2 linked regions of the Coturnix japonica genome follow. The protein of the gene in region 2 interacts with the protein of the main gene of each other region in a biochemical or structural test. Links are inferred from orthologs where the notes say so. Each region holds a gene or a part of one and is shown on either strand. Other genes may lie near its edges.

Region 1 (3,078 bases), about 21 Mb from region 2:
GGAGTTACTGAAACAGCAATTGTTGGTGGCATGACCGCTAAGTGTTTTATCAAATCAGGCACTGGCCCTGAGATCCTTCTTTACTTTATGCGTCTATCAGTTACCAAAAAGAAACAAAAGTATCTGATTTCAAGGAGATAACTAAAGGAGTCTTTGGAATTATTTAACATCTAGAGCTCTCCCAGAAATACCATTAAGAAGTCCTAAATGGGAGGACAGGTTTTGAAACTGGACAAATATCCAGCCTTCCCCCAGCTTCTACAGTCTAAACATACAAGAAACGTGGAGAACAGGATAAAAATGGAGAAGGCACAGAGAGAGAAGGCTGTGTCCATCGCCTCATTCTTAATTACTGCGTAGTGCTCTGAGGGACGATGGTGGGATGAACAGGATTCTTCCTTTTTTGGAATGGTTCAGAAATGTTGATGAGGAATGAGGAAATGTTTTGATGTAGTAAATGCCAAAAACAAAAAAGGGAACCATCAGAGGGAGGGAGAAGAGGCCTAGGGCATGGAGCCAACGGAGAAGATGGGAATTGGGCAAGACTTGTTCAGCAGAACACTGAAAAGTGCTCATTTTTGGCATGAATATTACAGCTGACACCAGAGCAAAATTAGGCTGTCTTCCTGTTAACCCCAGCCAGCAGATGTAAGGAACATTTGCTTCTCTTTCCTTTGAAATGTGAAGTGCCTCTGTAGCAACCTTGATCTTAGCGTGAACATGAGGGTATTTTTGAAATCTAAGTGGATACAGTTCACCTTTGCATTGTTCTCTATTGCAGAATATAACGTGGCTGTGTTTGTGACCAATCAGATGACCGCCGATCCAGGAGCAACTATGACGTAAGGATACTCTCACTGTCAAATCTCTTCTCTTTTGGTTACATACTGAACTGAGATTGAGCAAAAAGCATTGACATGAAGGCGTGCTCCTCATGTTTTAACTATTTCAGGCTGCTCTTTTGTCTTTCTGGTATCATCATCCACAGATGACACCTATGGGTTTCTCTCTATCATGATAGTTTTGTTAATGATTTCTTTTTCCTGGCTGGCATGATGATTTCTTTTGCTATTTGATGAGAGGACGCTGAGTGTTGTGCATTTGAGCATCCCATCTTGAGGCAGGTGTGTTTATCTCCTCTTTTGATTTATACCTGTTTATTATTTGTTACTGACTTCACTGTGCGTTGCCTGACAGAGAATCACACTATTAGCCAATGGAAATCGCATGGTGATTTTTTGCTGGTTTAGCTTTCAGGCAGACCCAAAGAAGCCGGTTGGGGGCCACATCCTGGCTCATGCTTCGACGACCCGAATTAGTTTGAGGAAAGGGAGAGGAGAGCTGCGTATTGCAAAGATATACGACAGGTAAAGCTGTGTGTCTCTTCAGTTAAGAAGCTGCATTATGAACACAGCGGGGTGTCAAAGTTCACTGCACCGAAACTTAATAGCTTGTGAACTGATTGGTGGTTTCAAATGAACCATGCATCTGGGGGGTATATTGAGAGAACATCTGAAAGGACAGTGATCAGTAGATTTAGATCGGTAGATTCCAAGTTGTCTCACATATCGTATGTATTACGTTATGTAACCTCATAAATCCCACTAGATGTTGATCTCTTCATGAAGACTATCAAATCATAGAACCACAGAATGGCCTGGGTTGAAAAGGACCACAACAACCACCCAGTTTCAACCCCTTTGCTACGTGCAAAGGTCGCCAACCAGCAGACCAGGTTGCCCAGAGCCAGGGTTGTCCCTTGGCAGGAACATTCCAGAGCTGTTCCATCACTCACTTTTGCTGCCCTCAGTGGGGTGTCAGTTTACAGGCTGAGCTGGGGCAGACACAAGTATTAAACAGCATATAAGCAGAACTGAGTGGCCATTGCTCCTGGCCACCAGCTGAAACGGGCCAGACAGCTTTGCACACACAGAATCATCTCTCCCACGCTTCCTCCTTTCCCCTCACTTGAGTTTCTCATCTTGAGAGTTGCCTTTCACATTTTCTCATCTTGATGACATCATGCACGTCACATATTGAAGTATCCCGTGTCGCTTTGACTTTAAACCTTTGGCAGACCGTTCCATTTAACACTTGTGGTTCTCTTTTCCCCCCTCTTCCCTCCCCTCCAGTCCTGAGATGCCCGAAAATGAAGCCACATTTGCAATAACTCCTGGAGGGATTGGAGATGCCAAAGAATAAGTGGGAACCTCATGCAGACATACAGCTGTTAACCACCAAGGCGCTTCGTTGGGATGAAGATCTGCTCCAGGTCGCTGCCTCCCCTGGCTGCTTTTTATCTGCTTGGAATCGTTTGAGAGGTGTTTGGGATAAACCGTGTGTGCTTCAGTGTTATTCAGCTGGTTCATTTGGGGTCTTCTCTTTTTAATTGGCAATAAATAGCTGATGGAAACAACAAGCCCAGGAGCTTTGCGGCACTCCATGTGTGGAAGAAGAGAATTAAATACCTGGAATACTTTCACGTCGGCCAGATTGCTTATTGAAGCACTTTTAGAAGAGAATGACCTAAAGTTGTTTATACTAAAGGGAATAATAAAGACCTAAAACGAGAACAGCACTCTGTGTGTCTTTGGGTGCTTCTCCTCCAGCCCCACTCTCACTCATCCCCAAGCCAGATACAACCCAACCTTTCACAACCCGTGTGGGGCACATCAAGCCGTTGTCTCGCAGCCAGGACAAAGCACACATCATGGCTGCCTCCCCTCTCGCTGCTGCCCGTGTGCTGAGCCCACAGCCCCCTGACAACCTGCCCTGTGAGGGGGCCCCGAGCCCACCCGGCCCTCGCAGCCCCCCGCACCCCCCTCCGCCGCACCGCCCTTATTGTCTCCTCCACAGCGGCAGCCGGCGCCCGGCCGAACAGCCGCATTCTCTAAGCGCCGCTACGCTGAACGATCAGCGTAATCCTCCGACCCTCCGCCAGCCCTTCCTGCACAGCCCGCGGAAGAATTTTACGCAAAACGTCGGGTTCTTCCTGCTCTACGTCAGCCTGAGTTACGCAAGCTGCGTACGCCGTGCGCTTACGTAACGTACGCCTCGGCCTAGCTTTTCCCTACCCTC
Region 2 (4,135 bases):
ATTGTGACTAAAAGGTAGAACCAAGACAAAAGGAAAAGACATGAAAAGCTGTCTTTAACTGAGAAACTGCAATTGCAGACAACTGTGTCTCAAAAAGTGAAACAGTCTGGAGTGCATTAGGATTTTACTGCCTCTTCCACTGGTGGTAGAGTTGTGGAGGGGGGGAAGAGAAGACAGCAGTAACTTCCAGAAGAAGCTTACGTAGTCATTTTGAAACGGGCCTAAGGATACACTGATAGACAGTAAACAAAATTAAAATTAAATAAATAAATAAATTAATTAAAAAGCAGGGAAAAAAAACAACAAAACAAAAACAAGAGAGCTGTCTACAAGACAAAAATGAAAAAAACTCCGAATACTGCATCCAATTCAGGGCCTCCCAGCACTGTAAAGACATACACCTGTTAGAGCAAATCCAGAAGAAGGGCACAAGGATGATCAGTGAGCTGAAGCATCTCTCCTATGAAGACAGGCTGAGAGCTGTTTATTTTCTTGCCTGGAGAACAGAAGGCTCCAGGAAGACCTTGTAGCATCCCCGCAGTGACTAAAGGGAGCAGACAAGGAAGCTGGGTGGGTACTCTTTATCAGGAGCGATAATCACAGAATCACAGAATGACCCAGGTTGGAAGGGACCTCAAGGATCATGTAGTTCCAACCCCCCTGCCTGGCAGGGCCACCAAACATATACCTTTACTAGATCAGGTTGCCCAGGGCCCCGTCCAACCTGGCCTTGAACACCTCCAAGGACGGGGCATCCACAACCTCCCTGGGCAGCCTGTTCCAGGGCCTAACCACTCTCCTAGTGAAGAACTTCCCCCTAACATCCAACCTAAATCTTCCCTCTTTTAACTTGGATCCATTTCCCCTAGTCCTGCTATTGTCAGCCCTTTCAAAGAGTTTACTCCCCTCCCGGGTTTAGGTTCCCTTCAGGTATTGAAAGGCTGCAATGAGGTCACCCCGCAACCTTCTCTTCTCCAGGCTGAAAGATAAGACAAAAGGTAACAGTTTTTGTCCTCAGGCTCAAAGTTACCAAGCTCAGAGGAGAGGCCGCAGTAGTTCTGATTACTGAAAACGCATAGAACAGTTGGTGACAGAAGGGAAGAGCAGAAGGGTCTGCAGTAACGCGTTCCCCGGGCGAACAAAGCCCCCTGCCCAGCTGCGAGCCAGCACCCCACCACAAAGCAAGGCGGTGCGGGCATCCAGCTCCGCCATGTCTCACCTGTGCTCTGGATGCGGTAATTCAATGTGTCCGCCCGGGAAGGGCCGACGCCGGGACCTCCTCCCTTCCTTTCAGTAGTTTCACATTCGCAGACGCAGATTCGACGCCGTAGAACCGGCTGCCTTCGCCCCTCCTCTTTGCGGCGAATGTGCCGTTCTGCGAGCAGCGTCAACGGCGGGTGGCTGTCGCCGGCTGCCGCGGCGATGGCCGGGATGGCGAGGAGGTGGGTGACGGGTCTGGGGTCGGGTCTGGCCGAGCCGCGCGGAGGGACAAGGGGCACAAGTGCGTGTTGTGCGGACCGTGTGTGCCCCGGTGGCGCAGTGGTTAAGGACGCCACTTAGCAACACTGGAGACTGGGGTTCGAATCCTCCCTGTGGCGCAAGTGGTCGAAGTGCTGCCCTGCTACACAGAGGCTCGAATCCCGGGGGTTGGACTCGATGATCTCTAAGGTCCCTTCCAACCAGCCCAAGACTGTGATACTGTGTGTATATACTGTGATGGCTGCCGTGCCTCCTTCAGGCGGGTTGGGATGTGAGCCGAACGGCGCCGAGCTGGTTTTTCTTCGAAAGCCTGTGGCGCGCGCGCGCTGCATTTGCCCGTCGCTTGTGTGACGTGCAGCCTCATCTCCTCGGTCTGAAAGTGACCGTGGAATGGAATCGATCTCCAAGGAGTTGTGTGTGTGCTGCCATAAGGGAAACAACAACATGGGATGAAACTACAGCATAGGAAGTTCAGCACGAATGTGCAGAAGAACTTCTTTACAGTGAGGGTGACGGAGCACTGGAACAGGCTGCCCAGGGAGGTGGTGGAGTCTCCTTCTCTGGAGATATTCAAGACCTGGACACCTACCGGTGCAACATGGTATAGAGAACCTGCTTTGGCAGGGGGTTGGACTCGATGATCTCTAGAGGTCCCTTCCAACCCCTACAATTCTGTGATTCTGTGCAAAAACCCTTACTTAGGAGCTATTCAGGAATGAAGATGAATGGATTGAGAGCAGCGCTGCAGAGGATTGGGATTGTTTGTTCATGAAAAACCCAACATGTCCCAACATGTGCCAACAGTGTGCAATTCCAGCCCAGGAGGGATAGCTGTACCCTGGGCTGTATTAAATGAGGGATGGCCAACAGGGCAGGGCCCTCAGCTCCGCATTCACGAGGGCCCATCTGGAAAACTGCGTTGATGCTTGGGGCTCTCAACAGGGGAAGGATGAAGAGCTGTTGAAATAGGTCTGGATGAGGGCCATGAAGATATCAGGGCTGGAGCACTTAGGAGTAAGGCAGTTTCAGGGGGTTTAGCTTGTTCAGCCTGGGGACAAGAAGACTCTGGGAAGACCCTATAGTAGCCTAATAGCACCTAAAGAGAGCTGTAAGGGTGGATAATATGAAAGATGGTAAATATTCAAAAGGTAAAGGGAAACACACCAATATCAATGCCTTAGCTGGAAAAAGCTGAGGCAATCTCCACCAGGGAGTGATCTCCAAGAGATGCTGCCTCAGTGGGGGTCAGCCCTTAAATGAGGTCTAGAGGAGGTGGAGTCGAGCTCCATCCCTTCCAGGAGCACAGCTAAATTACTCTCACCTGTGCTCCTGCAGCTGACCTAACACTTGCCTCAGCTGATTAATCAGAGGTTCAGGCTGTGATTACCAATTTCCCATACAAGAGCGTACAACAGAACTGAATAGGACTCTCAGGAAGACAAGAGGAAACTGTTTCAAATTTCATGAGGGTAGGTTTGGTTGAGTATTAGGGAGGAATTCTTCACCATGAGGGTGGTGAGGCACTGAAACAGGCTGCCCAGAGAAGCCAAAGTAGGCCTAATGGGCAGCCTGATCTGATGGAGGTGTCCCTATGCTCAGAAGTGGGGGTTGGAACTGTCCCTTCCTAACCAAGCTATTCTGTTCTTAGTAACCATATTGTATGCAATAGTAATAGTTACACATGTATTTGGACATACGCTGCTTTTCTCCTTAAATACATGATACAAACCAAATCAAGAATTAGCTAGTAGGGATTCTCAATACGAAGGGCCTAATACTGTGTTCTTTTGCCACAGGAACAGGAAAATTGTTAATTATTCAGAATTTGGGGACTTTGAAGATGGTGGTAAGTGGTGTATTTCTGTACATAACTGAAATGCCAAGCGCTAATGCTACAACCTAAAGTATCAGCAGAGTGTTCTTCTTTTTCATGCATTAGTTAAGTGACAAGGCTATTACTGTTTTCAGTGGATATAAACTGAACATGTTGAAAATCCTAATTCAGCAAGAATATGATTTCTGTAAGCCAAAGCATAACAACAGTTTGCCAGGGATCTGTTGAATGCACTGTGTCTTTTGATTGCAGGAAAATCTGTTTCTCTGCCTACCTCAGTTTTCAGAGAGTTACTTGTTCTGTGCCCTCCTGATGATCATTTCACAAGACTTCATATCAGAATGTAAAGGGAGTTATGTAGTTGGCTGTGCACAGGTCTAACATTTCTCATCCAGCTCTGTAACTTAAAGGATTTTGGATAAGAATTTAGCAATCAAATTTTGAGTTGAATTGGTAAGAAAAATAGATTGTAGGCTCTTAGTTTTCGTGACAATCCTCCTTTACCTCTAAGCCCTAATGGGTATTGTATCATTTCCCTTCATGAATTTGGTTTATTTTTCTATCTTCCTGTGCTATTTGTCAGTTTTTGGTATCCACTGAACAGTTTGAAGTGATAGGAAGGGGAAAGAAAAGTTAAGTGATATTGAAGATCCCTTGTAAGTCATGTGAGTTAATGCAGAGTTTCACAAGTTTAAATACAGTTCGTAACTTTTTTTTTTTAAGTGACCACTTGTCATACTACAAAAAAAAGGAAGCTTGTTTTCCTCTGTCCCTTAGATTTTTATCTCAGAAGTATCATGTATCTGTTCTATGGCATTTAGA

What was found.
Region 1: the proteins of RAD51AP1 (region 2) and DMC1 form a complex in vitro, tested with the Homo sapiens proteins (2 studies listed by BioGRID and IntAct). The link is inferred for Coturnix japonica from reciprocal best matches to the Homo sapiens genes RAD51AP1 and DMC1.

Annotation. Positions count from the first base shown.
Region 1 is NC_029516.1:46,421,127-46,424,204, forward strand, and holds the end of DMC1 (meiotic recombination protein DMC1/LIM15 homolog), read left to right. Parts: intron 1-781; coding exon 782-842; intron 843-1,250; coding exon 1,251-1,367; intron 1,368-2,132; coding exon 2,133-2,202; 3' UTR 2,203-2,578; downstream 2,579-3,078. UniProt on the Homo sapiens protein: Participates in meiotic recombination, specifically in homologous strand assimilation, which is required for the resolution of meiotic double-strand breaks.
Region 2 is NC_029516.1:67,090,608-67,094,742, reverse strand, and holds the start of RAD51AP1 (RAD51-associated protein 1), read left to right. Parts: upstream 1-1,335; 5' UTR 1,336-1,365; coding exon 1,366-1,442; intron 1,443-3,275; coding exon 3,276-3,325; intron 3,326-4,135. UniProt on the Homo sapiens protein: Structure-specific DNA-binding protein involved in DNA repair by promoting RAD51-mediated homologous recombination.